3 linked regions of the Astyanax mexicanus genome follow. The protein of the gene in region 3 interacts with the protein of the main gene of each other region in a pairwise test. Links are inferred from orthologs where the notes say so. Each region holds a gene or a part of one and is shown on either strand. Other genes may lie near its edges.

Region 1 (10,559 bases), on a different chromosome or scaffold from region 3:
ATTATACAGAAGGTCCTGCTGATTTTTGTTTGGGGCATTAGGACTTTCCTTAAAATCACAGACAGGTACTGTTTATTAGCAGTATTAACACGAATTTAACTGGCCACAGTGAAAGCTTTCTTAATTGGTCATTAAATTAAATTAAATGATTGCTAGTTACTTATATAAAGTAAAATACATTAACAAATAGTCCAATGTTCCCATCAAACTGGTGCATCTGAACTGACTGAATCAAATCAGATACAGCCCTGTTGTACATAGCAACAAACAACTGTATGGATCACAATACAAGCAATGTTGCTTTAAAAAAAAAAAAACAAAAAAAAAAAGTTTACAGATAAAATTAGTTGCTAGACGCTTTCTCTTAACATTCAAAATGATTTTATTTAGTAAAAACATACAGATCCAGAATGGAAACAAATATTGGATTCACTCCAACGTAACGGCTGCCTCACTTAAGGTGGAACAGAAAACCTGGAAAATGCTAGCAAGCTAAGTACTAGGTAAATGCTAATTACAACTTTATGTAGTTTTAACAAAACAAGAAAAAAAAGAAAGCAAGTTTTGTTCCTGTCTTGTTTATGCAACAATTAGTTCAACAACATGCATTTTAAAAAGTGAAGTGGTTTTCTGCTCACCTTAAAGCCACAGCTGTAGTTTAGCAAGTTTTAAACTAAACTAAACAAATTTGCAACATTTTACATAAAAAGGTGACATGTGGGCTGTTATGCTTTTAGTCATTAACAGTAGGGCAAAAAAGTTTGATAAGCCCTGGTAAAAAAAAAAGGTCAATTTAAAGATAGCAACGAAAGCTCATTTTTATCAAGACATTCGTGTTTACGAAATTAGCGTATTTGACCCAAGCACCAATTATTGATAAACACCACAATACCTTTTTCTCCATGGCCTTTGATCCCTGCTCTTCTGTCTCGCGCCATCTTCGCAAGCTCCCTAAGCTTCTCCTCCTTCTTTTCTTTTTCCTTCTGTGCCATCTTCTTTTCCACCTGGGCGCGCATCTCCACTGCTTCTCTGGCCTGAAAGCATAATAAGGAATGAAAGCATGAAAAGAATGAAGACTGACACTTTGGATCATCAAACTTTCCTAAGCACTAAAAAGAATGTTCTTTCATTGGAGTCAAACGAATGCTCTAAATGGGCAAAAGTATTGATATCTACAGTCTCAGTTTGTATTATATTTTATTTCAATTCACAGGAAATAATAGGGAGTAAGCTACCTAAAGATTTTGGACAATGTTGAGATTTCTTTGTGCACTAGAGGAACAGTGATGTAAAAACAGAAGAGGGTCTTAACTGTTTTTACAAAGTTGGAATAATACTATATTTATCGCACTATTAGGCGCACTTAAAATCCTTTAACTTTTCAAAAAATTGACAGTGCGCTTTTTAATCTAGTACATATGAATTTTACCAGTCAGGCTGTAAGGAGCCACTCAGCCAAATTACAGTGTTATTCAGAAGTTCAGTTTAGTTCTCCTGCACTGGGGCTTGAGTAGCATTAGCATTAGTTGCTAACCTCCATTTCCCTGTCTCGAGGTGTGTATTATCTCAGTAACTAAGCTTACTGTAAATGAACAAAAGCTCTTTACTTTTTTTTTTTTTATAAAGTTTTGTATCCTTAGCTTAACTTAATTAGCTACAACCCACCACCACCCAGCTGCGAGACCTGCTGAAGTAGAAGTTCCTTATAGTGTCTTTTAAAATGTACCTTATAATCTGGTGTGCCTTGTGTAAGAAAATAAACGCTAATTAATGTGCCTCATAATACAGTGCGCCTTAAAGTGAGCAAAAAACGGTACTGATAAAAAAGAAAAGAAAAAAGAAACGGCATCATTCCTCCTATTAAACTATTACAGTATAGAAAGTATGTGAGTCATAATCCCCAAAATCAACAACAATTGTTCATCACTTAGTCCTTATTGTCCACCTGTATTTTTTTTTGACAAATATAGATAGATTACCTTTCTATCTGCAATGTAGAGAGCTTCAGCTAACTTTGCAAAGTTCTCATTAATATGAACTGTCTGAAGACCTCTTCCATCAGCAGCAAGACGTTTATCCAGTGGGATTGTGTAACCCTGAAAAACAATAATGAACATTTATTTTGCCATTCAGAAAGACAACAGAGTTAAAGGTAGATAATTGTAAAGGCAGACAACAAAAATCTGCTGAAACCTTTGCGTTCTTCCAGTTGGAAATGCATGGAGGAATCTTCCACTCCTGTTGTTCTTTCACCGTCATCTGAGACAATAAGAAAGTTAATTAATAAAAATTTAAAAATGTATCCCATGTAATGAGCAAATATGATGCTGATTAAATTATGGTACTCACCTTTCTACTGGGAGAGTGCATAACTGGAGCAGGAGGAGAGGGAGGTCCACGAGGAATTTTCTTATTAATTCTATTCAAACAGACATATGCAAGACACCTTACATACTATTCCTGATCTTTATTCAGTTAGCAAGTAGTTAGAAATTACTTACTGGTACTATACACTAGCCCATAACTTTTTACATTTAAAATGTACACAGTAACATAGTTCACCACTGTGGGTCCTGTGACGTACTTAAAACGTGGGGGTTCCATTGGATCTTTTTGCATCTCCACCATACGGATGACCCTTTGCTTGGCCCCCGAGTTGAATGCTACTCCCTGCTGAGAAGGTGTGTACCTGTTGCAAAGAAATAATAAGTTACAGAATATCTAGGTTGAACCACACAATTGACACCACAGTAAAACATACTTGTGAGGTTTGAATATTACCGTATGTACTGTGCTGGTGCCTGTTTATCTGCTGCACGTACAGGCATTGCTGCAGCAATTTTCTGGGAAACCTGCTTGTCCAAAGCAGCTCTGGTCTTCTCTGTAAGCTGAAATAAAAGAAATACATTTGAATATATGTTACATTTTCATTAAAGAAATAAATTTCAAAACCTTAAAATCTTACTGAAAAATAAGGTTTAACAACATTACAGCAAAAGTACTAACAAGGAAATTACAGTCATCCCCCAATTAAAATTCAAGAACATTATTTTTAATTAAAACCAAAAACCAAACCAAAATTCATTATAATCAATTATTACTGCATTATTATCCACTGACAACCTGTAAATGCTTACAAACAACCACTAACATATCTCACCTCTTTAATGGCCTCTTCATCTGGTCTCTGTAACTCTGGGGCATCATCATTGAGCACTTCTTTAGGAAGCAAATCTGTGTATTTACTGAATATAACCTGTTGAAATTACACAAGGTGTGAGCATACATTTTATAATATGATAAACAATTCTAAACTGTTCTAACATAAGATGTACCTTATCCTTTCCTTGGCTTTGTCGAGCAATTGCATCATACTTTATTTTGCCCTCAGCATCCACCTGTACAGCAAGGGCATTGGATGTCTTCTTTTTTCTGCCCATCTCCAGTGGATACTGAGCCACGTGGATCTCAGGGAATGCACCACCATCTCCAAAATCCTTTAAAATAAATGGTAATTTTAATATGTTTTTATAGTACAAAATGAAAAGTACTACATCACAAACTATTTGAACTCATTTAATTTAATATGTTACAAGCAGATAAACACAGACACACCTCAATACTGCGGGGAACCCATCCTTTTCGAGAACCATAGGGAGGTGGTTCTCTTCGAGTGAGCATCAGAGATGTGGACTGGGACCTCTGAGCTCTGGTCCTCTCTTCTGACTCAAGCTGGTCCTGGGACAGCTGAGTGGGCGCGGGTAAAAAACTGTAAAACAAAGCATATCTACATTAAAAATACAATACCAATCTATCTATTAACAGTCCAATAATGTTCAACTGAGTACACTTATGGTAAAACATGACTGTGTGCTGGTATAACTGGCATAAACTGACAAAACACTCAATGTAAGTGTAATGTAATATATATTTTACACTTACATTGAGTGTTTTGTCAGTTTATCCCGAGAGAGACAGACAGACAGACAGACAGACAGACAGAGAGACAGACAGATCGCTGAACACCGTTTTGGCTGGACGGATATCTACAGTAAGACTAGCTTTAGCTAGCCTAGCGTGCAGTAACTGTTATGTTTCTGTACACAGTTCTAATCTGATATCTACATTTTAACTATAGCTAATAAACAAACGACAGCCTTGATTACAGCTTAATCTACCCGTGGGTTCATGACCGGGGAAGAAAGTGCGTTAGCGTTAGCTTGCTAAGCTAGTTAGCCCTGTAGCTAACTGGCTAAAGCTAGCGGATAAAATAACAACTAACTTAGGCCTTTCAGCCAAAAACGGATTGCAGTAGAGAACCAGAACACCCCCACAGACACAGTTCTGTGAGTAACCCGCCGACAGTGCTAACAACAGGGTAACAAAGCTAACCGGCTCCAGAGTGACTCACCTGGCCAGAGACATGTTTTCTCTCTTTGTGAAAAGCTTCAGCTCAAGACTGGAGACTCTCAGCGCAGACCTTTCTCCCCCGAGCTCCAGCTCCCTGCTAAAGTCTCGCGTTATTAAAACACGTCAAAATAAAAGTCCACACCAACACCACGCAATCTCTCCAGAGGCGAGTCTCTCACCCAGGGGGCGCTATAACATCAGCATCTGCTATCTCGGTAAAGTTAGTTTCATTTTTCGGCGCTAATAAATTTTAAACGGAGGGTGAGATCCATCTGATCCAGATGATACTTACATAATCAGGGCAGTAGGACCACTGAGACAGACGCACATCATTCATTTTACTGTTTCGGGAAAATGTGCGCAACGCCTTTTAGCGTTAATACCGAAAACTGAGATAATATGCATGTAGTTCTAGACCACCTCTGCATCTGTAAACACTCATTCATTTACCTCCAAATCACTTCAGTGCCTAAACATGCCAATGTTCTCATATAAGAATAAATGGCTTTAAGAAAAAAAACACACCAATAGCTTCATATCCTTTAGGATTTATACACATCAAAATAACGGGAATGTTCACTTTAAATCATGGGGAAAACTGCACACCCATTAACATTATGCAAAATGCTTACAACTCCCTCATATATTATATTTTATATGTTCACGAATTCAATAGCATTTCAGAAACTGTGTATGACAGCTGGGTGGAAGCAAACACTTTGCTTGTGGTTGTCCATCGAATCCGAGGATGACGTCCATCTCTGTCTTCTAGCGGTGAGTTTTCTGAACAGTCCAACATGGATCCACAGATTCTATTGCATAGTGTTTGTTTGGCTGCCAACCATTGGTGTGTCTCTCCAGAGCACTCTTTGTTGTCTTCTTTGTTGTCTTCTGGCTGTCTATTCCTCCTCCAGTGTTTGGGTTCCAACTAGGCACAGCTGCCACCAGGTGTTGCGATCAGCAGCCATATCTTCCAGATCTCCAGGTTTGATTTTACACCTTTTAAGAGCCATTTTCATTTGGTATTTAAAGCGTTCTTCTGGCTTCCTGCAAGACAAATTATATTTTGGATACAGTGCCAATTGCACTGTATATAACATTTTATATATTTTAGAATTTTAGAGAGAGTGCGCATTTCTAGCGCAGAAAAACGGGCCAAAGAGTCTAAAAGCGGAGAGAGTGCGCATTTCTAGCGCAGAAAAACGGGGCAAAGAGTCTAAAAGTGGAGAGAGTGCGCATTTCTAGCGCAGAAAAACGAGGCCAATGAGTCTAAAAGTTGCCGTAATTAAGGAGTTTAACATTAGGAGACATCATGAAATTAAACATCAATTTGAAAAATCTTAGTTTACACAACACTGTCAAAGATAAAGATAGTAAGCCAAGTAAAATGGTGTGTAAATGAAATAATCAGGAAAAAAGTATTATTTAAAGTGGTATATTTCATTATTTGTTTTATTACAGAGTGTGGCCCTTGACTTCAAATATATTTCTCCTTCTGGCCCCCAGCAAAAAGTTTGGACACCCCTGGTGTAGGGTACTCCAATCAAAAGTGTTGCAGTACTGAATACTACGTACTGGGCAGTGTGCAGTATGCAGTACATACTAGTGCAGTATGCAGTATGCAGTATAGTAGTATGCCATTCCGAATACAGCCCAAGACTCAGTCAGAGGAACCCATCCTACTCGGGTTGACCTGCTCAGTACAAACAAATAACAGAACAAAACAACAGTACAGAGAATTAATGTGAACTTTAGCTAAAATAAAAGGTACTAATTTATGAATATAAAAATGTGATAAGCACAAATTATAGAGCTATGGCCAATACAGAAACAGATACTGAGTGTGTTAATGTTAATCAGTGCAGGGCTGCAGAGCCGGAGTAGAACACAGCGGGCAGTGGAGAGCCAGGATGGGAACAACAGGAACAGGGCATCTCCATACATTTAAAAGAAATAGAAAACAGAAAGGAAAGAAAGAGAAAAAATCAGGAGTTAGAAGGGTTGTGTAATAATTCTGATGAGTAGAAGGACATGGCTGATTCTGGAAAACTGGAACCACAAACGGACACATCCAGGCAGACCGGCCGGGCATCTCAGCACATGTGAGAGAGATAGAGAGAGAGAACAGAGAGGGGAGGGAAGAAAAAGGGGTTAGAATGGTTTTTAAAACTCAGCAGCTCAGGACATGGGGAGAGAAAGAGAAAGCAGATGATTAGGACAGGGTTTATATTTGCTGGATAAGCTGTAAGAGGAAGAAAATTGTAATGAGACATTACTCAAAAGCTTGAGCAAATAGAAATGTTTTGAGTCTAGATTTAAAGATTGAGAGTGTGTCTGAGTCCCGTATATTAATAGGGAGGCTATTCCAAAGTTGGGGAGCTTTATAAAAAAAAGCTCTTCCTCCTGGATAGTTTTTTCTAATGCGCGGGACTAATAACAGGCCAGCGCCTTGGGAGCGGAGTGAACGCGGCGGATTGTAAGGAGTAAGAAGTTCCTGCAAATAATGCGGGGCCAGACCATTGAGGGATTTATACGTCAGGAGGAGTATTTTATAATCTATACGAAATTTAACAGGTAGCCAGTGTAGGGATGAAAGAATAGGTAATATGATCAACCTTTCTGGTTCTAGTAAGCACTCTCGCGGCTGCATTCTGAACTAGCTGGAGTTTATGAAGTAATTTATGTGGACTTCCAGCCAACAGTGCGTGTTTCAGTAGTCCAGCCTCGAGGTTATGAATGCATGCTTCAGCTTCTCAGCATCTTCCAGAGAGAGTATACTGCCTACTGATGTTTTTACCCAGCGGTAACATGTAAAGAGTAATGGACACAGTATTGATCCCTGAGGGACACCATATTTTACTCTAGACTGATAAGAGCATTCTTTATTTAAATAAACACACTGGAATCGATCTCTCAGATAAGATCTGAACCAGGTAAGGGCAGATCCTTTAATTCCTATAAGATTTTCTAACCTATCAAGCAGAATAGCGTGATCTATGGTGTCAAAAGCATCACTAAGATCTAGCAGTACAAGTATAGCAGTACTGCCCCTATCAAGAGCTGAAAGTAAATCATTAGTTACTCTAAGTAAAGCTGTTTCACAATTTTTTCTAGGATTTTGGCTACAAAAGGAAGATAGAATTTGGTCTATAATTAGCAAGCTCACTGGGGTCCAGATTTGGTTTTTTGATAATGGGCTTAATGACCGCCAATTTTAGAGAATTGGGTACGTAGCCCATGCTAAGAGATGAATTTACTATTTCTAGTAATGCCCACCTTTGGCAGTGCCTGTTTAAGTATCTGTGAGGGTACTGGATCTAATATGCACGCTTTTGATGAGTTAATTACACTAAGTAAATATTTTTCTGTAACCAGGCTGAAATACTCTAGGTGTGCCTCAGAGCTGGAGCAGCATTCATTAATATCTATAGGTACATTTTGGGAGTAATACTGAATTTTTTGTCTAATGTTATTAATTTTATCATCAAAGAACTTCATGAAATCATTACTATTAATGTTGGCTGGGGTAACGGAGCTAGTTTGTTTTTGACTGCCGGTAAGTTTAGCCACAGTAGTGAAAAGAAATCTAGGGTTGTCTCTGTTTTTCTCAATAAGCGCTGAGATATACTGGGATTTTGTTTTAATTAGGGCTTTTTTGTAGTCTGTGAGACTATGCTGCCATGCGAGCTGGAAAAATCCCTAATTTGTTTATTTTTGTTGGCTCTACATGATCCAGGTTAGAGCGGAGCACAGTTTGTAAGTTTTCTGTTATGTGCTCGAGATCATGTTCATGGGACGGAAGGGAGATAGTTAAGTCAGGGGGTTTATTTACAAAATCACTAGCAATTGAGGTTGTTATTTTACGCTTGCTGATATAGCGGGGTGGGAGGAGGATATTTTGATTAAAAACTATTTCAAACATAATTAAATAATGATCGGATATCGAGTCATGTTGAGAAAGAGTAACTGTATTCTCAGCCTCGATACCCAGTGTCAAAACTAAGTCTAATGAATGACTACATCGGTGAGTGGGGCCAATTACATTTTGTTTGAAACCTAGAGCATCTAAAACTGATTTAAATGCAATTTTAGTGGATCCTGATCCTTTTCAAAGTGGATATTAAAGTCTCCAACAATTACGACCTTATCAGAAAGAAGAGTTACTGCTGCTAGAAAGTCATCAAATTCACGGATAAAATTTGAAGAGGACGATACAGTGTTATTAGCAGGAACAAATGCTGTGTTTTGGAAGCAGGAGATGGGCCTGATACTTTAAGACTAAGAACTTCAAACGACTTAGCATCCAATTCTGAGTTTTGAGTTATACCTAACATTGAGTTATAAATTGTGGCAACACCACCGCCACGACCAGAGCTGCGTGGGTAACTAAAATAGCTAAAACCTGGGGGGGTAAACATAGACATAGTGCACACAGACATAGTGCAGTAAGGTGATTATCAGTAATAATATCATTAACAATTACTGATTTTGGTGCTAGCGATCTTATATTTAATAGCCCTAGTTTAATACGGACGCTGCTGGTACTCTGAGAGACGGATGCTGTTGTTTTAATTTTAATAAGATTATTAAAACAGATTTTCTGACTTTTTCGATTTCGAGCGACACATGGGACACAGTCTCAATCCTACACAGTAAAAATGCACTTGTATCAGAAAAAGGCACATAATTGTAACTCACGGCCTTATGAACAGGAAAGTGGCAAGATAAATCATCAGAAGAATGTATATTACTAAACTGCCCATTACTTAGACCACTAACCTGGCCGGTATGACTGGTTAGAGCCAGTCAGTCCCGGCATAGCACCGCCTCAATGTTTCCAGAGAGGACGGCGGATCCCAGGCGGCTGGGGTGAGGCCCCATATCCTTCATATTTATGATTTAGTGCTAAATCTGTTGCATATTCAATTTTATAAGTTTTAAAATGTAATAGCATTTATACTGCATTACGATGAACAATAAAAACAACTGTCTATGATACAGCTTGGTGGCAGCAAACATGCACACTCTTTATTTGGATACCTGGATAACTGTAAATTCAGACAGAAAAGTAGACATGGATTTATGAATAAAGGTTGAACAGTCATGTTTTTACTGTTTGTTTCTAAATTGTACTGTTTATCCACATCATCAAGGTAATTTTTAAACATTATTCCCTATTTTATAAGTGTGAATTCTTGTTATTTATTAATATTTTGAAGAGAGGCAGATATATGAGGCAAATGTTTGAAAAACTGTGTTTATAAATTACAGAACAGTCTAAAAAATGGTTAATCAAATCTTAATGTTTATACATTATTTTAAATAAAATATGAAGGTTCTTGTAAACTTATAGTAATATTCTGAGTATTATAAAAAAGAGATCCTAGAAGGCACACCTTATTATCAGGGGGTTTAAATGTTTTTTTGTCTAATTTGCATTAACTCTGATATGAGTTAAACTGTGGCTTGTCTATTAAAAGAACATGTCTAGAGTTCCAGGTCTCCGTGCTAACCTAAGCTCTGGTCAGAATGTTTTTCTCATGAACTCATTCACTACTCATTATATATCTTTGATTATGTCACTCTGACACAACACCACCATACTGCACTATGGTATATATTGCATATTGTAGCGTACATTGTCTGTACATTACATTTAGTGATGTATTATGGGTGTTTGATAGTGAAGTATATAGGGAATAAAATGTAATGCTGAGATTTTAAAGAGCAATACAAAATGGCTGACACAATAAATAGGGCTAAACAGATGTAGTTTAATCATTACAATAAGAAAAAAAATTGTAGCCAGAAGACATGTAACACCGTAACATAATCATAATGCTCACATCATATAACAATAGAAAATTTGAAACAAATTCCATTTAAATGGTCATTTCTTTTGACTGTTTGTAATTTCCGACAGGTGCTGATTTTGTTTTAAATGACTGCAATATTAGCACAATATTATATATTTCAAAAAGTTAAACAAATCTACCATAAACAAACCATATGTCTCCAACTTGAACAAATATTTTGTTTAGGAAACTATTCACAGATGGCAAGGAGGCTGGACGTAAACACACCTGACAAAGATTGCAAGAAACAAGGACAGAAAAGGAACACATGGGGAAGAGAGTGGCTGGTAACAA
Region 2 (9,929 bases), on a different chromosome or scaffold from region 3:
TACACTAGAACTGCACTGGATTCTTCTAGAATGTGCCAGGAATGAGGAATTAAGCTTTCCCATTGGATACCTTTTTATTTCTGTTTTTAAATATTGGTTAATCTATATCTATCTAAACTGGTGTGTGATAAGCGCAAACATCAAAAGTCAAATTCTAAAAAGAAAAAAATGCCATAACAGAGATTATTTTTCTTCTTCTATTGCTTAATGTATGAAATTAGCCTGAAATATGATTCAGTTCATCCTAACCAAGATCACCACTTTTGGTCAGACAAAATTTTGGTTTACAGCACCTATCACACCATATATTTTGGTATATTTGTTATATAGCATATATGTTTAAAAGTCCAGGCCAAAACAAGGTAGTTGTGAAAGCCCCCTTAGATATACTTTAATGTCTAAAACTAGTGTCATTCTATCACAAATTATTAGATTATGCTGGACTATTAATGAATGTCTATTTTCTGTCTGCGCCTTTTTAACCAGATTAAAAGGTGCATTTTAAGTGACAATAGTAAGGAACAAGGATATCGGCATGTAGATAATCTACACAGATTTCTCTTCTGAAAATGATTTATTTGGGTAAGTAAAGCGCTTTTGTCTATTTACAGTAAGCTTAGCTTTCCAATATTTTCAACAGTGCGGTTAGCAGCAGCACTAGCCACGGTTAGCAGCGCTTAATGTTAAGGCTGCTCCAGCCTCAGTTATAGAGAACTAAACTAAAATTCCTTTATAACTCTGTACTTCAGTGAAGTGGCTTTACTGCACCTTACAACCTGGCGTGTAGAATTAATACCTAAGTGATGTCTGGCTACATATCAATGCCCACAAAAGAGTTTGTTCTTCAGTAATTTTGATGGATGGCTGTTAAACTCAGCTGCCCTCATTTTGAATTTATAATCCCATGTTTCAATGCAAATTTGTCAGTTTCCCGCCAAAAGAAGACAAGTTGAAAGTTTTGCCACGTAGGCTAATATATCTACTGTTGCTCTGTCTTAATAATGTCATTGTATTAATATATGAGTATCTCACTTGTTGATACCAAAGCTGGGCGGTCTTTGCACCAGCGCCCCAGATGTTGGTGAACAGCTCCAGGACAGACACAGACTCCCCAAAATTGTCTAGCTTCCTCAGGTGTCCGCTGTCCATGATCTCTTCAATCTTACTTGCCATTGCTTTGCCAATCCCTGGGATCTGATTTGCTTCCTGCAGGCATCACAGAAAAAAGGTAGTCTTTATTTATTTATTGAAGTAACATGGAAAAATGTTTTCAGTGATCGACACCTCAATATTCAAATCATCTTGGTTTAAGACAGAAAATTTAATTACACAACAAAATACATTGTACTAAATATTAAACAATCATTTTGCCAAGTTATCATCCTTGAGCATACTTGTTTTAGAACTTAATTTTTTAAAAAGAAGTTTGATATTGGGTCCCAATATGGGAAAATATTCAAAGCTGTGCTGCTCCACAGTGCCAGGTTATCATCCACAGTGGACAGTGCAGCAGGTGGCAGCATCTGGCTACAATTTCTGTGTATACAAAAATCAGATTCACAATCAATGCAGGGGGCCCCACTGGATATACCGCAGGTTAGGGAAGTGTCTTTTAGCTTCCATGGCATATGGCAAAAGTCATGGGACAGATTAGTAGTCCTTGTTGCATGACAGAATTCTTAGCTTCCAATGAAGTCAGACTGACCTGATATGAAGTAATAGGCTTGTGGTAGCTCTTAAGGGCATTAACAGCTTTCGAGTAGCTCAGGGCTCTCCACTTGTCCCCTGTGTGGGTGTAAGCTTTGGTCAACTGCTCCAGCTTGTCGGTGATGTGCTTGTTGTGGTTCTCGCCCTTGATTTTGGACGACTGGGCACAAACCCACTTCCCTGGCAAAGCAGGTTTTTCCAACACATTCTGGGCTTCATCTGGGGCACCCGCGCTAGACTTAACTCCACTAATCAAAGCCTCCAAGTCGTCCTGTGACACACCATCTTCCTCAAGATGTTCGTTCTGAGTGTCCGGGACCTGTGGGACACCAAGTAAAAGAATGTGGATTATATATCTCAAACATGTCAGCAGGAATTCCAGTCTAGGATCAAGTTTTATCTTTCTGTTTGTGACACTTGATAAACCAAAAAGGCAAATAAACACAAACAACTGATGGACTCTGCAGATGGAGGCAGTTTCCTCCTGTTTACCGTCTCTTCAGGGTCATCTTGGGTTATTTTAGGATCAGCCTGTGGTGCCGTTTCCTCAGAAACAGAAGTGGCACCCAGCGGACTCTTCTTTGGCTCTTCAATAGAAACATGCTGAGGACTACAAAGAAAGACACAAAAGATTTTTAGGTAGATCTACATCCTATTAAACATTACAGGAGGTTTTGACTTTCATGTCATAACCAAATATTTTGTATTTATATATTTATTTTTGTTTTTCCCCCTTCCCTCTCTCTGAGGTGTATAAAATATGCTAATGCATACTAGGGCTGTAAGATAAATCATATTTTTTAGTTCAGCATTTTCAGCTTCCATGGGACATGGCAAAAATCATGGGACTTAACAGAACAGTTTATGTCAGTGTATATGTAAAATATATCACTAACTCAGCAATACCTTTTAGATGTAAGAAGACTGTACTCTTCGGTGCTCACAAGCCTTTTCTCTGAGATGCAAGAACTGAGCCATCTGCACTTCACCAGCTCCACAGCAGATGGCAGCGTTTCAGTCTTCAGCAGCCTCAAGGCCCGCTCTTTGTCCACAGACTCATCTACAACCACATGGGTGCAGCTGGAACTGAAGATAGGCTCAACTTTGCCCCCATTCTGAACGATCTGTTGGTGGAATAGGTCACATCGAGCCTTTCCGATACCAGTGGGGATTATGTGGATGGAGACACCCTGGAACACATTTCCTGAAAGAGAAAAACAGACAGGGATGCACTTTAGAGTTGGGGATGAGATGAGGTAGTAATCATCCAACATCATGATGACTTTAATAATGCTCCTGTTGAGAGATTTCTTCTATAGCATCTTAGGGTTACTTGGTAGTTTAGACAAAACAGAACAGATTACAGTCTTACCAGTCACTGTTTGAACTGGTGTCTTCTTGGCTGGAGGTGCCTCTTTGCTTTCAGCTGGACGGTGCCTTTTCACTTTGGGAAAAGCTTTGAGAATACCATGCTTTTCCATTTCGAGCAGAGTTCCCAAAAGGGAAGCCCTACCTAAAACACAGAGACGAGAACATTTCAGTATGAAAAACACATGAAATATATTGATGATAAAAAAAAACAATTTTCAGATTATGTAAAAGCACTTTGATGTATGTTTGGTGCTAGCTATGAAAATATATAGCTACATGTGTAATATTGGATACCAGCATGGGCCCAGAATTACCACATCTGTGCATCCGTAGTAGTAGACGGATCAATATTAGTAACAGTGCAAAATTAGTATTAATTTAACTCCTTAATGTCATCTAATATTAAACCTGCATATTGTATTTTGAATTAAATTAAATTAAACATTTGAATGAGTTTACACAGTCCAAAAGTAATATGTTTCACTTTTATACAGTTGTATTATTGCAACTTTACACACAGTTTGATAGTACTCTGTTCCACTTTTACAAAAGGCTTTACAATACTTTTATAAGAGCTTGAAATATTTTATAGGGTTGGATTTGGATAATGCTTTCTTGTGTTTTTAACTTGAAAAACGTTGCTGTTAGTAAAAGCAAAAAAAATATTTTTCACATTTAGCTTTGGCTCAAATCTGTATTTCTGACTTTTAAACCAAACTGAATTGAATCTATGTAAGTTATCTGATTTTTTTTTTGCTTTTATTAACAGCAACATTTTTTAAGTTTAAAAAACACAAAACTTAGGATTTTCATTGTACATATGATAACATCAGTTTGATTTAAAAATCAGAAACACAGATTTTGGCCAGAGGTAAATCTGAAAAACAGCTAATTTCTTAAATTCTCAAGTTCAGAACATTAGCTTTTAATTCAAGTATACAAAATGCAGATTCTAATATATGTCAGCTTTTAAGCTCCATAGTTTAGAAACAACAGGAGCATTCACTGGTTTAGCAGTAGCTAGTTAGCTAACACTAATACATGTAACTACAAAGATAATACAAGTCATGTTAATTAGCTTTCAGTGGAGCTAAATGTGGGGCTGCGTCCCAAAATCCAAAATAAATGCCCCACAAGTGAAAGTTCATTCATTTCGTCACTTAGTAAAGTAGCTAGTTTAGCAGTGTGTGATTTGGGACCCAGCCCGTGTTTACAACATAGGTTAGCAACAAGGCTAGCTTCACTTTACAACAGCTATTACCCTGGCTGCTTCTAAAAACTGACCGTGCCACACCTCCCATTTCCTACCTGCCACATTTTCTTTACTTTTTCACTACAAATATGCAGTAAAACAGCAGAAACTACAGTTAAACTGCAAAAAAAAGCAATAACACAACTCACCCGTCAACACCAGCCAGCCAGCCAGCCCTTTAAAACGGTCACATCCGGGGCTCGGTCTCCAGTAGACCAATCAGATTCGCAGGTTTCAGTTTAAAAAAAAAGTTGTTGCAGCAAAAATATATATTTGCCCTTTAAGCCACATTTTATATAATAAATAATGAAATTTTGAACTTTTCCTAATTTGTGTGACTCCACATTTTTAAAGAAAAAGGTAAGATGGATTTAAAATGTACGTTTTTAGCCTTAAGTCTACTGACAATTTACCCCAAAAACGCAACGCAATGCTCTACAGTACTTCATATAAAAATGTTTAGTATTAAAAAAGCGCTATGTATTGATATTATTTTTTACTTTTGCTTAAAATAGAATAAGTAATATTTAGTATGTATATATTATTATTATTGAAAATAATAACAATATTAATATATTTAATATAATTATTAATTAATATAATTACATTTTAATTATTATAATTACAATTATATATTTTTATAATTATTAATTAATTAATATGTATTTATTGTATATTCTCTATTTTCTATGTGTGTAGTTATTATTTTTATTTTATTTTGAGTTCGCTGTGATTTTTATGTATATTTGAAAACTTCATTATTAAAACGGCAAAAAAACTGTTATTTAAAAATACAAATATTATTTGTATTTAACTGCATTTTTAACCTTATTTATTTAGTTATTGGCCTTTTTATTAGTTTTAATGTGTAATCGCTTTATATGTATTTTTGAATATTTCGTAATTAAAACTGTACAAAAAGCAAAAGCGAAAAATTTGTTAATTGAATATTGATTAATATTATATTATATTAATAATAAATACAACATTTAATATACGTGTATATAAAACGTTCTAAAAATATATTAAAAAATCTTAAAATGTTTTTTTTTGTTCCGGTAGTCTTCTCCGTTTCCATGGGAACGTTCAGCGTCCCGGAAGTTGACTACTATGTGTTTTCCATCATGGCGGTGCAGAGCTGGTCGGAGGTGCTGAGGTCTGCTAAGAAAACAGCGCTAATTTCTGATGGTAGGGCGCGTGCGCTGCTCTTTTTTGAGTAAACAGGGCTTTGCTCTCGCTCTGATCTTCTATAATAAATGTTTAGTGTGTAATAAGGTGTGTGTGAGTCAGTTAGAGGCGGTGTGTGTTGATGTGTGGATGTGTGAGTTTAACGCTGACAAAGTTCTAGAGCTTCACAGCTGCATCATCCACCAATCAGACCTGCGGTGTTTCTACTTAAATCAATTAAATGCTGTATTTTATACAGGAAAAAGGAAAGTACACTACCTGTTTACAGACGGCAGTGAGATGGCTGAAGAATACGACATGAGAACAGATGAACTTATCTGTAAGTGAAACATGCATGCTCACAAAATGCTGTAATACATTACTTCTCAATCCTGGTCCTGGAGGACAGGATAAAGCAAAGAAAAAAACTAGGGATGCACTGATTAGTGAATTCCTGGCTAATGCTGATATCCAATATGACATATGTATATATCTGCTGATACCAATGCCATTATACACATTTGAAACTTAGAGAGAGACTAGACACCAAGGTATAACTGTATAAAAATTAAGGTATTTTGCTTTACATTTTAGCTTTTAACCAACTGTAAACAAACAATAAAATGTAAAAATATAGCTATATATTATATAATATTATATACATCATATATTGTATAGATGCAATACATACAGAGTGATATATTTTAAGCATTTATTTCACAAAATTGTAGAGAAAAAATACATACACACAAAAATACTATACGTGTGTACTATATTGTATTAATATATTGTGTACAAAATTAAAATAAAGTTTGAATATAACCATTTGTACATGCTCTAATGAACTCCCCATCAAAGTTACCCACTGTATTTCCTGTGACAACGTATTTCTTAATGTTTTCTCTTTCTCAGTGCGACAGTTGCGCTCTAAAACCAAACTGGGTGGAGCAGGACAGTGGCAAGTAGAAGTCGGTGAAAGAAACCCCAGTGCTGTTCCCTCCACAGACACAGAAATCAAAGAAAGTAGCTCTAATGTAGGTTTGTCTTCCTGTTTTAATGTGACTCGTCATGCAAAATTATGCGTATGCTTTTTTTAAAAGATATTTTTGAAGGGTTCATGATTCAGTGTATGATTAAAAAGTTTTAATGTTGCTTTGTTTTGTTCTCTGCAGCCTTTGTTTATACGTAAAGACACGAAGGCCAGTTTCCAGTGGAGAGTTCGCAACATCCCGTACCCCGTAGACACTTATAGTGTTTCAGTGGAGCCTGCTGAACGATGCTGCATCATCCGGACCACGAACAAAAAGTAACTCCAGTCAGATGATAATACTAGGTGTTTAAATGTTTGTGGACACCCCTTCTAATAATTGTCCTATGGCTTTTAAAGGTTAGAGGGGTATAAAGCTTAACCAGCACTGAGCTGTGGATCAGTGGAAGATGATAGTTGGGGATGATAAGCTGAGGTGGTGACCATCAATCCAGCATCCTCACCTCAGAAACTCTTGCTTTTGTCACTAAATGCACTCAAATCCTCACAGCAGTCCTCCCTTTTCAAAGGAGAGTAGAGACAGTTTCTCCAGTTAAAGCAGGATAAAGTCATTTTTAATACCCTTAATTTAGGAAGAAACAAAAAAATGAACAGGTGTCCCAACACTTTTGTTCATATAATGTATCTCATCAATTTTCACAAAGAAAGATTTATCAGAGAGTCATATAATTTAATAATAAAATGGGATGGATCCTTTAAGCTAAACGTTCAGATTTCTCACTGGTCATTCTTGTCTATTGAACACTGGCAACGCATGGGGCTCTGGGGCCAACTTTTAGACCCCTCCTGGTTCCATCACTGACCCTGATGAGCATACATATTTGGAGCCAGCATGGAACCCATAGACAGACTGTGTAGTCCCAGTTGGGCCACCCATACAGACCCCACATGGCCTTTGTTGTCAAATTCTACTCTATTAAACACCGACCTTATTATTAGTATTGTTCATTCTACACTCCCTTCTGCTAAGTGTCTTCCTGTAGGTGGCACTGTTGGCTCAAGATAAGGTTTAAGGGCTCCCCCCTATTGGTTTAAACAAACCAATAATCAAGTAGGCTCATTAATTAAGCATGTTAAGGTAAAAGTACTGATCTAAGATCACCTCTCATCAGCTGTCTAATAGAAGTCTTTAACTTTAATTGATCCTGGATCTGCATTCTTACTCTGAGATGTTTGATAAATATGGCCCCACTGTACTAAGAACATTCTTATTTTTCTTAGTTTTTAAACTGCAGAATTGTTCCTAGATCTGATCTTATAATCTGGTTACAAGGATCCCATTGTTCTCATAATTTGACCAAATCCCAAATAAAAAAAATCTTAGGAATGCTATCACACTAAATATTTTTTTTGATGACCTATTGTTTTATAAGTAATTGGAAACTAAAAGAAATTTTAGTTGTTTTAATTTTGTTGTTTTAGTAAACAACATTTTTGCTATTATTTTAAAACTATTTTATGGCCCAGATATAAGGATAATACAATAATATAATGCATTAACAGCCTTTTATAAAGCAATGCACTTCTATATACTGTTATACTGTAAGATAAGGACAGTAACATATATATCATGACAGCCCTATTGGTGAATCTCTGAGTGTGCATGAGAAAAGTGTTATTAAAGGAGAAATCAGGTGTGAAATGAACTTGGGGTGTAGTGAAACATGATGGTGAGTACAAACTTTTGTTGAATAGCCCACCTCTGTTTACCCTTCACATTCTGAAATACAGCGATTTAAGCCGATGCTTCCAACAGGCTTACAATGCTAGTGATGGGGGCATAGCGCCTATAAATAAATTGCTATTTTTACACCATTAACAACAAGCTCAAAGCACCCTTTATTAATGGAGTTCTAAGGCATTGGCCCTAAGAACTTTGAAATTAAGCAACAGCTGGAATTCATGCATTTCTACTGAATTAATTTTGCAATCTGTTCCCCTATCCGTCTTATTTATTTGTGATCATGCTTTCAAAGTTCTCAGTGCCTCGTTTTAAACGTCAGGGTGTCTACCTGTGAAGTATGGAGCTACTTTGAGCTTGTTAATGGTGTAAAAATAGACATTTCTTTGCATGTAAGTCATTGTAAGTCTGTTGGGAGCATCGGCTAAAAGCACTGTATTTTGGAATGCTTGGGAAGAATAAAAGTGGGCTATTTAATGAAAGTCCGTACATGTTATCATGTTTTACAAAACCTGAAGTAGATTTTATAAAGGTCTTCTCCTTTAAGTGGGTGGTGAATAAGGCCTTTTCTGCTTTATTCTTCCCTTCATTTCCCAGGTACTATAAGAAGTTCAGTATTCCAGACCTCGACCGCTGTCAGCTGCCTCTGGAGAGCGCAGCCTTGAGCTTCAGCCATGCTAACAACACTTTAATCATCAGTGTAAGTTAAAGGCCCTTACCTTAGGGGCTGCTCACTTAATCACCGTTACTGCTTTCAATGTAGATCTGTCCTGCTCTGCTGTTGACAAACTGGCCTAAGACCAGATCAGATTATGCGGAACAGTTTCCGTTTGGTTAAATGATTATACACTCACCGCCGATAGTTGCAAAAATAGTTGCACCCAGAAGGAAGTGGCGGAGTGTAATGATATTCAGAAGGAAGATGAAGGCAACCAGGAACAGTAAATGATTAAATATTTCGGGTGAATGACTGGACAACTCCTGGTTATATTTATTGAGCAACACATATAGAAGTAGTGTGTAATGCATGAGACGTAATGGTGTCTCATGATAATCCATGACATGCAATATATAATATATATTCTCATGCAGATTTTTCACTAGGGTTTTTTTAGGGAGTGTTAGAGTTGTTGATAGTACATCTTATCACAGCATCTCACACATTTTAATCAGGAATAGGTCTGGGAATGCAGCTAAAAGTGTCTGTGACTAAACATAGCAGCAGCATGTGGATGAGCATTGTCCTGTTAAAATAGTGGGATAGATATAGTTGGTTGCAAGACATTATTAACTTTACATTTGGCTGTCAAAGCAGGGAAGAACAGTTTTTTTTTGGCATCATACAAAATTGCACACCACACACCACACGACACCAGGCCTTCTGGACATGTGAAGTGTTGAGCTTGGTGCCTCCACACATAAATTTTTGCTTCATTCTGAGTGCAACACATACATTTTGACAATGTATATGTATTACCGTATTTTTCGCGATATAAGGTGTACTTTAATTCCTTTAATTGTCCTAAAATCGACAGTGTGCCACTCCGCTGAAGAACAGTGTTATACAGGAGTTTCAGTGAAGTTTCTCCAGCATCGAGGCTGGAGCAGTATTAGCATTGGGCGCAGCACTAGCGCTTTTGTGTTTAGTGGCAAGTGTATTAGACTCTAGTCTGCGTGTTTACTGTGTTAAAACAAGCTACGTG
Region 3 (10,324 bases):
TCTATGGTGTAAATAACCTACACCATGTTAGGGGTGGAACAAAACATTGATAAATCGCATCATTTCGCGTATATCATATCGATACATTGCATAAAATATTAATATTTTTATTGAATCATAGGCGCTCTAAATTCCTTCTGCTCCCTTCCAGTCATATCTGTCACCTTCAGACAGACAGACAGGTGCTTAAGAAAAAACTTATGCATTCCTTAAACTTCAAGACACAAAGGAATATTATACTAGTATTATAATATTAACAAAAAACACTATACAGATATGCTCCATCAAATGATCAAATCATACAAAAAGACTTCAACTTTAGGGGTCGTGAATAGGTTAATTAATAATATAACAATGAATGTAGATAAAATATGGGTTATATTTCTTAAATATAGAGGAAACCCAGGAGCAAAACATACAAATTATTGGATAATATTGCTCTGAAATTGGTACGCTTATAATGTACAATAGAGAAATATGTATGGTGGTATTATAGGCTGACAATAGAAATAATTTGTTAAAAAGCATTTTGGACACAGCCTGGGTATACAGGTTACGACAAAGATTTATGAAGATTAAAAGATAATCTGGCACTTTAATGTTGTTTAAAACTGCCAACAGGTTAGTATAGCCTCACCTTGACCTGGGCAAGTTCTCCAGCAGGTTTGCTCATGCTCTTACTGGTGAGTTTCCCATGAGCCTTAAGCTCATCCACAGTTTTGTAGGAATATTTGGGCTTTTTCTTCCCTGATACTGGATCTCTACGCCACTGACCCAACTCCCTTTGAAATTCCTGTAGAAATATAGAGAGCAAATGATTAGTTTATCAAATGTGTCTGGTCCCAAAAAGTTACCTTGAAGGTTAATTTGGGATCTAAAAGAAAAGAAATTTTTTTTTCCTCATTCATGAGGTCAAATGTGTGTCATTTTGCATCTTTGACTCACATTCTCTTCTTCCTCTTCAGAGTCTACCACAGGGAAATCTTGCAGGGACTGCTGGGTCCTCTCATTCCCATAAGCCCCCACTGCTCCTTTGCCCTTTCGCACTTTAGCCTCAATTGGGTTTACAATACCTGTAAAGACATTCACTCATCAGAACACATAAACATATCTGAATAAAACCCAGAATTAGCCTTCACAGACAAAGATACTCTACCCTGTGCGTTTTTTCCAAGGCCTTTGCCCGGGACGTAGCCCATCTTCTGCAGAAGCTTCTGACCGATGCCTCTTGTATGCTTCTCCCAGCTTCCGATATCCTGCCCTGGTCGGATATTTCCAGCAAATGTCTTATGGGAAGTCTTAAAGTTCCCACCCTGGAGGATGTAAACCAAATGAATAGTTACAATGAAATCTATAAGTCTTAGAAAAGCTAAATAATATTGGCACAAGGCATTAAATATCAATATTTTTCCTGAAACATAGACATTGTAAACCCCCCAAATTTGACTTAATAAGGTTACTGCTTCATTACTCCACGTGGTGGCACTAATCAAATAAACAGGTTAAAAAATAATGGTTGTCAAAATCTGGGAAACTGACACCAATAAATCTATAATCCAAATCATCCAATCATTTCTGGTCTTTACCTTTTTTTTTTTTAAATAAATTTTAAATCTTCTTTAGTAATCCAGATGCTTTGAAATATCATAGAGAATTGTCTTGCGATATCATGGGCAACGTATGTATACCCAATTGTGTTGAAATATGTATCTTACAAAAAAGCATGATCGTAAATGAGACATTAGACCCAAATTGCCAGATTATATTCAGTGAAATTAGCTGTGAATGCTAGAATACCCACAAAGCAAAATGAAATGGCAAAAAAACAGCATTACAAATGTAAGTATTTTGCACTACCGTCTGAAGCTTTTTGGGTGCAGTAGCACGGGGTGGTGGTGGTGCTGCTGCTTCTTCATTCTCGTCTGAATCATCAGAGCCCTGCTGCTGTTGTTGTTTCTCTTCAGCTGCAGTCTTCCTCAGGCCAGCACTTATAAAGTTCACAGGGGCTGAGTAGTCCTTCGATCTACACAGTTTTTCACATATGGAGCAAAATTAGAATCTTCTCAGTGGCAAAAACAGAAGCAAACCATCCTAATGCTAATTGTTTTAGTTAGTAACTGACTTCAGTTATTGCTTATAGAAAGGTTAAAAGTGGTGGTTCTGGAAATAGGGAATTGGTAAATTATATATTCAATGAAAGAATAGAATGGGTCTAAACTGAAGGTAATAAATATTCCTACCATATTAACATCATCATAATAAATATATTAAGGATCATCAGGGTTTAAAGTACTCTGACCCAACTTTACATTTAATTACAAGGGGTGTAAATATCCTGTTTAATTGGATGATGTGCAGCAGAAGAGGTTTAAAACATTGTGATAAATATTGTGTCAGGAAAATATCTGTATTGTGTTATATTGAGATAAAATACTTTTACCATATTGCCCAGCTCAATCTGTGCATGATTAAATACACCCCAGGTGGTGACTTGTATACTGTTAAAATCTATTAAAGGTTTTATATCTCATTGACCAAAACATGACATATCACAATATAAATTTTGGTCATATCAAGCCCTCTGAGCATAAATGTTCACATTTTACATTTAGAGAGGGTGATGACAGATTTGCTATGTAAATCTTCACATTTTTCACACTGTTTATAGCAAACATTATGTATTAGCAAACCAATAAGTGTTTTCCTGAGTGTGGTATCAGAAAAAAAACAACCTCTAACCATAAATTAATTTTAGAAATTAAAGTAATGTTTGGGTACCTCTTGCCTCCAAAGCTGGGTCTTTCATCATCAGAATCATGTTCAGCCCATATTCCGTAAGTAGCCTCCTCTTTGGTCTGTCTGTGCCGACGTCTATCTGGATTAAACTCATTGGCCAAGTCCCATTCAGACACCTCAAACTTCTCAATCTCGACCCCATCCTCCTCTTCCTCTCCTCCTCTACGCCCATACAGATGGGACATAGACATTATTCTGCAGGAATTAAAATAGCACATACAATGAATGGCATTCAGTCGACTGGGCAATGTGACAGTACTGTTTTTTTTCTGAGCATACCATAGATATTATAGAACATTAACTAAAACGTCTTTTATTTTGATATTTTTTTGTGTTTTTACGTTTATGACATATCTCCCACTCATATAGATAATCTGCTAAACCACCAGCTAGATACGTCTCTACAGTTAATCAGAGAAAAACACATATCATTAGCTAGCTACACACTAACAGACAAAATTTGCACAATCAATAGATGAACTTCATCACAAGCTAGTTTCTGTGTTTCTCACTAGGGCACAACAGCAGCACAATAGTTGCTGAAAGTGGCAGTCAGAAAGCACAAGCCAAAAGTTTGGACACACTCTCATTTAATGTTTTTCTTTATAATTTCTTTCAGCAAGTATTGCTTGTTTAACACTTTTTGTTGACAAAATAATTGCACATGTTGCTGTTCCTGTACAGACTTACTGTCTTTAATATGAAATTTACAATGTAAAAAAAATAACATAAAAAGAAAAGAAAACACATTCAATGAGAAGTCCAAGCGTTTGATTGGTACTCTGTACCCATTTAATTCATCTGTTAGTTAAACATTTGGACACATTCCATTAGCAGGCTAGCTAGCTACTGACTAATAGAAACAATTAGCTACTAAATTAACAAACGAAAACTACATGAAAGAGGTTAAACCTACCTATTTTTGAGTAAGGCACAACTGCAGCACAAGAGTTACTGGGATATTATGTTAGAACCACTCAGCTTATTTACTAACTAGTTAGCTAAACTAGCTAAGCTAACTAGCTAACCTAGCTAGACTGAAGGGGAGGCTTTTTGTTTATAAAAGAGATAGCTAGCTAACTAACTAGCTTATTTATATTTACACAGCTGTTATTCACCCTAGAGGTCGTTAATCCTTACGGCAACCCGTTAATACGTCTAAATAGTATCTAATTCGGTGTGTGGACCCAGGTTAGCTAAATGAGCTAGCTAGCTTCACATTAGCTTGGTTAGCCAGCTAGCTAACCCACAACAACAGCGTTATAGTAACGTTAGCCCAAAGTTAGCGAATGCTAGCTAATCTCGCTAGCTAGGCCTACTGTTTGTGTATTACCCATCCACCAACAGAGACCGTTAGGTTAAATAATTTAATTTAAATCAGGAAAACGAGCACCAGCAGCAGCAGCACTCACCTGTCTGTGTATAGCGCTAAGCAGACAGCGCTAATCTTCAGCTATAAACTGCGCAGCTCCTTCCTGTCGGCCTGTCTCTGTACAGGAAGCGCGGTGTGTATGTCACAGTGACGCAGAGGTCAGAAACCCTCTCTCACAGCCATCTTGGACCCCGAGCCCAGACCTAGTAAGTGTTCCTTCTTTCAATCTTGTGGCATCCGAGCTTTCTACGCTTGCTTGCTTTGCCAGAACCGGCTAGAATCGTTGGGTAAAAGCTCTTCTCGGATAAGGGCTGAGTATTGGCCCGTTTCGCGTCTCCAAATATTAGATATTGTGGTTCAATGCTGCCGGCAGACTCTTCAAAATGGGGGAGCTGAGGCAGCGCCTTCTGTCTGGCTGGGCTGGAACATGACAGTTGTGTTTTTTAGTAATATAGTTAGTTATATATGTATATAGGCTTTTCTTAATGATTTTTAGTGAAGCTAAAATTCTTTAGAGTGTTTAGTGAGTGAGAGAGCCGGTTCGTAAGGTTGGCCAGCCAGCTAGCTAATGAACACTAAGGTCTGGGCTGCCTGTGAACTGGAGAGCTAGCGGTTAGCTAACTAGATAGGTAGCAGCGCTTCAGGTCTTGCTAGCATGTTCATGGAGAACATTTTAGATAGCTAAGCTAGCTAGTCACGTTGGCACATGGAAATGTATGTGTAGTATTTCGTTTTTTACAGTACCTAACGCTCTATAGTTCCTTTAGTACGTTAGCTAGATTAGCCTGAGTAGCCCAACGTTATTTAAAAGGCCAAAATAGTTAGCTAAACATGACTTAAAGCCCTTTCCCCAAGCACTTTAATACATAGGGTAGCTACTAGATCGTTAGCTAGCTTAGCTAACTAGATAGTTCGTAGTTTGGACTGACCTTAGGTAACTAGTTAGTCATGTTTTAATTAGCTAACTTACCAACGTTGTTACATTTACTTTTTAACCCTCAAGAGCTCAGACCCACTTCTAATTATTGAATTCAGAAATATATTCAGAAAAAATCATGTGAGTAGCTCATTCGATTATGTTGTCACTATGAGCACATGACTTCAAATATTTTAAGGTTAAAATCCTGAAAACACAAATGATTAAACAATTTCATAACCTGTATCCTAACAGTTTCTAGAGTTTGTGTTAGAACAAGTTAGCCAACTATACGGCTCTGGTAAAAATAGCAGAAAATGAGAAATGGCTGAAATAACAAAAAAAAATATGCAGAGCTCCCAGACCTCAAATAATGCAAAGAAAACAAGTTCATTTTCATAAAGTTAAGAGTTCAGGAATCTATATTTGGTGAAATAACCCTGGTTTTCAATATCCGTTTTCATGTATGTTCTCCTTCACCAGTCTTACACACTGCTTTTGGATAAATGTATGCCACTCCTGGTGCACAATTTAAAGCAGTTCAACTTCGTTTGATGGCTTGTGATTATTTCTTACTCTCTATTATATTCCAGAGATTTACAATTTGGTAAAATCCAAAAAAACTTTTTTAAGTGGTCTCTTTTTTTTTTCTAGAGCTGTATATATTCTAAAACGTCGAGTTAAAGCATTTTAAATTGTTAACTTAAATGGTGTAACAGCTGCAAGCTAAAAATCTACTTTTAAAAAGAGCTAGTTTTATCTTCAGCACATAACCCAAATAAGGTCAGATTCACACACACACACACACACTGTCCTGTAATGAACTTAATTACAAAGTTCAGTCACTTAGCAACTACACTTGGTTAAAATGACAGAATGCTGTAGGGAGATTTACACATCTTTTAAATGGTTTGTGACACAGCTACTTCATCATATGCTCTTTTGGGTTAACACATCTACTCTGGTTTTTAGTAGGCCTCTCACCAATGTTTTGGACAATATAACAGCTGTAGTCCCAGAAAATACTGCTAAAACTGCAATAGTTATTCCAAGCCATGTGTAATGCTACTGATTTAACCATAATGAAGCATTACACATTACATTCTACAGAGCACCGGACTTCTATTCTTAATGTTTGTTTACATATCCTAAATATATTAAACATCATTAATGTAAAACTCTTTCACATTAATGGGTTCTTCCTGCTAGCTAAGTAAACGCAGGGGGCAATACTAAGGTCAGCAAATATATTACGAGGTTATGTCAATATACAAATAAATACGTAAACCACTAGAGCTTTTGAGAATTGGCTTGTTAAAATAATGATTCAGCAAAAATGGGCAAGGATCACACCTAATGCTGTTCTTTTCCCACATGTATTTAGTTGAATTACTTGAGTGTCTGATCTTTGAAAATTTGCTTATAATATGACAACACTTGATGGTCAACTCAAGACATATATTCGATTATATCGATATATCGATTTGCATAATATTGGTCTTAAAGATATAATTTATTTCCCCCAAACCCTGCACTATTTGTTAACCATTGGTTCAGTTTAGTACAGCTTGTGTTAAAGAAATTTGTAACTTTTTAATCATTTAACTGATTTTAACTTAATTAAACTCTTGTTTACTGATTGTGTGAGTAAAGTTGAAAAAGTTTGCTCTTTATTTATGTATTTTTATTTTTTTTGTAGACAACAATGCCAGGCGAAGCCACAGAAACTGTCCCAGTGACAGAGCAGGAGATGCAGCAGCCCCAGGTGGAGACGGGTATGTAGTGCTCATTTATAGTAGATTGTAGACTAACCTCTGTGTTTAGGGGTCTTGGAGCTCATTTGCTGTAGATTGATTGATTTAAAAAAAATCCTGATGGCAGTAAGTTAAAGCTTTTCCTCTTAAGGTATTTACAACTAACTATGTCTGACACTTGGTCTTTTTTAACTCCTTGTCACCAGCTGTTGTGGACATTATTTGTGCAGCAGGTTTGACTGGTGGGTGGGGGGTGGTGTCGGGTTTTGTTGAACGGAGAATGCAAGTTTGGTTGGGTTAAGATGGCCGACCAAACCTTGTCAAATTTAGACTGAAAGGGATTATTTTTAAATTGAGTTCATCCAAGACCTCCTTTTCCAGAAAGCAAAATAGTTGCCTGCGATGCCTGTTGTTTTTATGACCACGAGGCATTGTGGTAGTGTTTTAAAGCACGTGTTCACTGTTGTTTTTGTGCATGGGATTTGGATAAGTCAACTGTGCATGAATCATTGTTCTATGGAATGTCAGTTTCTAACCCCTACACACTAAGGCCGGACTCCTGGTTGACCCTGGTCATAGAATATTTTTTTCTTTTGATGGAGAATCTCCATTCAGAATACTCTGTGGTCTAAGATAGGCTTCATCTCTGTCTGAGACTACTTAAAAAAATATTTTGTTTGGAAGCTACTCATTGATTTTCTTCTTTTACATTGTACGTAGCTTGTTCTTGATTTTAGGGTTTTTACACACTTAATAGTGAGTGTTTTACTGAAGCTGTGTTAAAACTTTAAAATCTTGAGTGTTCTTTTGGGTAGATCATTTGTTTTATGTATTGTGTAGTCGGTATACCTACAAAAACCATATCCCTTTTTTTAAGGAGCACAGTGTGAAATAATTTAGTCATACTGAAAGGGAGAATAGTCAAGTTTTATAGCTACATTGATAGCTTCAGTATTGGTTTAGTTCAGTTCATCCTTTTTTATGTAACCTTTTTTTGTTTTATTTTTTTCTCTTTTCTCCCTGAAAACAAACCTTGTACAAGTAATTCTGTTGGATTCTCGACTCAAACCCTACAACTTTGACTGCATATTGCATCTGCTTTAGAAAGGGAATGGTTGATGAATAGCCACTGACGAGAGATCTGTTTAATAAAAAAAATGCTGTGTGGTTACCCAAGCTAGAGGTCATTTCAGCAGTACTTAAATGTGGTAAAATGTACTTTTAGGAGCAACATGTTACTTGTTCTTTTTATAAAGCTGTTTTGGTTGACTTCTTGTCTTAAAGACCTTTCTTGTAGCATCACATATGGTACTAGCAGGTGTTGGACTTTCACCATTCTTAACTGTGGGCACTGCATGGTAGAAGTTGGACATGTTGGGCACTGTTGGCAAACTTCACCTTCCTCCACACACATTTTTTGAGTGGTATATGGGCACCAACTAATGTTTCACTGACAAGCCATTGTAAGCGTGTAAATAAATATACATATAGTTTTGTTAAATGTGTTTTCTGTGGATAGAAAACATTAATCACTTTCTGTTGCATATATAAGATTCTGTGTACAACTGGTCACTTCATCAGACTAGTATCTGGATTGTATCCTGTAAGATTTTAGCCACCAGAATTGTGTTTACACTTAGTCTGACCTTATGTGGCTATAATCCTGATACTCAAGTAATGCTGGGCGGTATACTGGTTCGTATGGTACACCGGAGAGAGATTTTGAAACAGTATGTTTTTTTTTTTTTCTCATACCATTTTCTCTTTACCACTAGAGGTGCTCCGGAGCTCTGTTTATATATGTAGAAGAAGCACAGTAACCTCAGCTCAGTCTCACGCTGGTTTGCCTAAAGAAACATGAGATTAGAACTCCTGCAGCCTCTGCTGTTATTTCTTGCAATATGAGTAACTAAAGCTGTGTTTAAATACATTAATTAATACTGTAGCTTAAAGGATAATATTAATGCACACCGGACTTAATTCATTTGTCAACTGGAGAACTAGGGGAATTATGATAAACTAATAAACAGCTCCTTAAATACTGTAATGTCTCTGATGGCTTCAATAATAACACACTGTAAATTGATAAACTTGTGTTTTACTTGTGCAATAGAGCTTTTGAGAAATATCTCCTATATACTTACATTGAGTATTTTAGGTTCATTTATAGGTTATGGAACTATTTAAGATATTTAGTTTGGTAAAAGATGTGTTAGTTGTTCTCTTTTTAAAGTCTGTTGTTTAAACTCTTCAGCTGTTATTTTAATAAAGTCTGATTTCTTAATATATTCTGTAATTTTGAGACAAAGTAAACCCAATAGTAATCAAAGTACTTCTGTACTTTATTTTAAGCCCAGTCATGAAACTATAAGTAATAAAAAAAATTAGTCATATACTGTGAAACCATCAGAATCTTGCAAAATACCCTGATAAGCATTTTTGTTCATACCACCCAGCACTATACTCAAGGAACATGCTGTGACCAGGTGTAAATTGGTGAGGTCTAATAAATAATAAAAAATATGCAACAGAATATCTTGGAGAGATTTCTTAAGCTGCTGTTGACCCTTTCACTGTGACTGCCCTTCCTCCTTTCTTATACTTTCTACTTTCCTCGATCCTCTCCACCCTCTTAGCTCCTGGGGTGGTAAACACGCCTGCCTGTTCTGAGGCAGCAGTTCCAGAATTTCCCAAGCCTACTCCAGTGGAGAGTGCTGTTCCTGAGGCCTCTATCACAAAGGCTGAGGTTGTAGCACAATCTGTGGAAGAACCAGCACCTAAAGTAGAAAACATTCAGTCCAATAGTGAAGCGCCAACCTTTGCTACTGAGGAACAGGATGAAACTAAGCTTGTTACTGCTAGTGAAGACTCTGAAGAACCAGAAGCACCTGCCCAAGACGCTCTTGTTAAAAGTCAAGAAGATCTTGTTGAAGACGTGAAAGAAGCTCTGGTGGAACCTACAGCCCAAGTACCAGAAGTTACTACTGATGAACAGCCTGTGATTGCTGAAATATTATCTGCAGAACCTGCAGTTGAGGAGAGTTTAGCCACTGGAGATGTGGTAGATGGTGTGTTTGTTTCTCCACAAAACATTTCTGAACCCAAGAGGGAGGAAGCATTATCTGATGGCTTGAAGTCCATGAGTGTGGAGGCCACCACTGAAGATGTAAGAGAAGAGCAGGTTGTAGTAGCCGCAGCGATGGAAGAAAAACCTGTTTATCTTACTGTAGATGAGGTCATTCAAAACAACAATTTATCAGAGAATGAAGTCGTAGCCCATTCAGAGGCTGTCCAGGCGAAGGTGCAGGCTAATCATGCTGGCCCTTCTCTTTCTTCTCAGCACCTACCAGGTGGGTCAGTGTGTGTGAAGTTTGACCCTCTGCTTTCAAAACAGGAGCCCTTATTAACCTTTGCATATTTCAGTGCACTCTTGCACACCAGTGCTCTGGTGTGCCATTATATAAATCCTCTTTAATTAATAAATAC

The links.
Region 1: the proteins of tfip11 (region 3) and snw1 interact in binary tests that used the Homo sapiens proteins (3 or more experiments, as listed by UniProt). The link is inferred for Astyanax mexicanus from reciprocal best matches to the Homo sapiens genes TFIP11 and SNW1.
Region 2: the proteins of tfip11 (region 3) and poll interact in binary tests that used the Homo sapiens proteins (3 or more experiments, as listed by UniProt). The two-hybrid records come from large-scale screens. The link is inferred for Astyanax mexicanus from reciprocal best matches to the Homo sapiens genes TFIP11 and POLL.

Annotation. Positions count from the first base shown.
Region 1 is NC_064408.1:54,939,834-54,950,392, forward strand, and holds the start of snw1 (SNW domain-containing protein 1), read right to left. Parts: upstream 4,566-10,559; 5' UTR 4,426-4,565; coding exon 4,412-4,425; intron 3,770-4,411; coding exon 3,616-3,769; intron 3,498-3,615; coding exon 3,336-3,497; intron 3,257-3,335; coding exon 3,161-3,256; intron 2,889-3,160; coding exon 2,782-2,888; intron 2,690-2,781; coding exon 2,585-2,689; intron 2,420-2,584; coding exon 2,350-2,419; intron 2,260-2,349; coding exon 2,194-2,259; intron 2,097-2,193; coding exon 1,980-2,096; intron 1,035-1,979; coding exon 893-1,034; intron 1-892. UniProt on the Homo sapiens protein: Involved in pre-mRNA splicing as component of the spliceosome. As a component of the minor spliceosome, involved in the splicing of U12-type introns in pre-mRNAs.
Region 2 is NC_064428.1:27,908,785-27,918,713, forward strand, and holds the start of poll (DNA polymerase lambda), read right to left. Parts: upstream 4,566-9,929; 5' UTR 4,480-4,565; intron 3,221-4,479; 5' UTR 3,189-3,220; coding exon 3,080-3,188; intron 2,912-3,079; coding exon 2,614-2,911; intron 2,318-2,613; coding exon 2,200-2,317; intron 2,027-2,199; coding exon 1,706-2,026; intron 1,207-1,705; coding exon 1,033-1,206; intron 1-1,032. Other genes in the region: protein DPCD, read left to right, coding at 5,407-5,518, 5,757-5,837, 6,410-6,531, 6,670-6,803, 8,824-8,926.
Region 3 is NC_064420.1:33,028,586-33,038,909, forward strand, and holds the start of tfip11 (tuftelin-interacting protein 11), read right to left. Parts: upstream 4,299-10,324; 5' UTR 4,209-4,298; intron 2,992-4,208; 5' UTR 2,988-2,991; coding exon 2,779-2,987; intron 2,024-2,778; coding exon 1,858-2,023; intron 1,314-1,857; coding exon 1,157-1,313; intron 1,074-1,156; coding exon 946-1,073; intron 794-945; coding exon 638-793; intron 1-637. Other genes in the region: naca (nascent polypeptide-associated complex subunit alpha), read left to right, coding at 6,790-6,859, 9,475-10,188. UniProt on the Homo sapiens protein: Involved in pre-mRNA splicing, specifically in spliceosome disassembly during late-stage splicing events. Intron turnover seems to proceed through reactions in two lariat-intron associated complexes termed Intron Large (IL) and Intron Small (IS).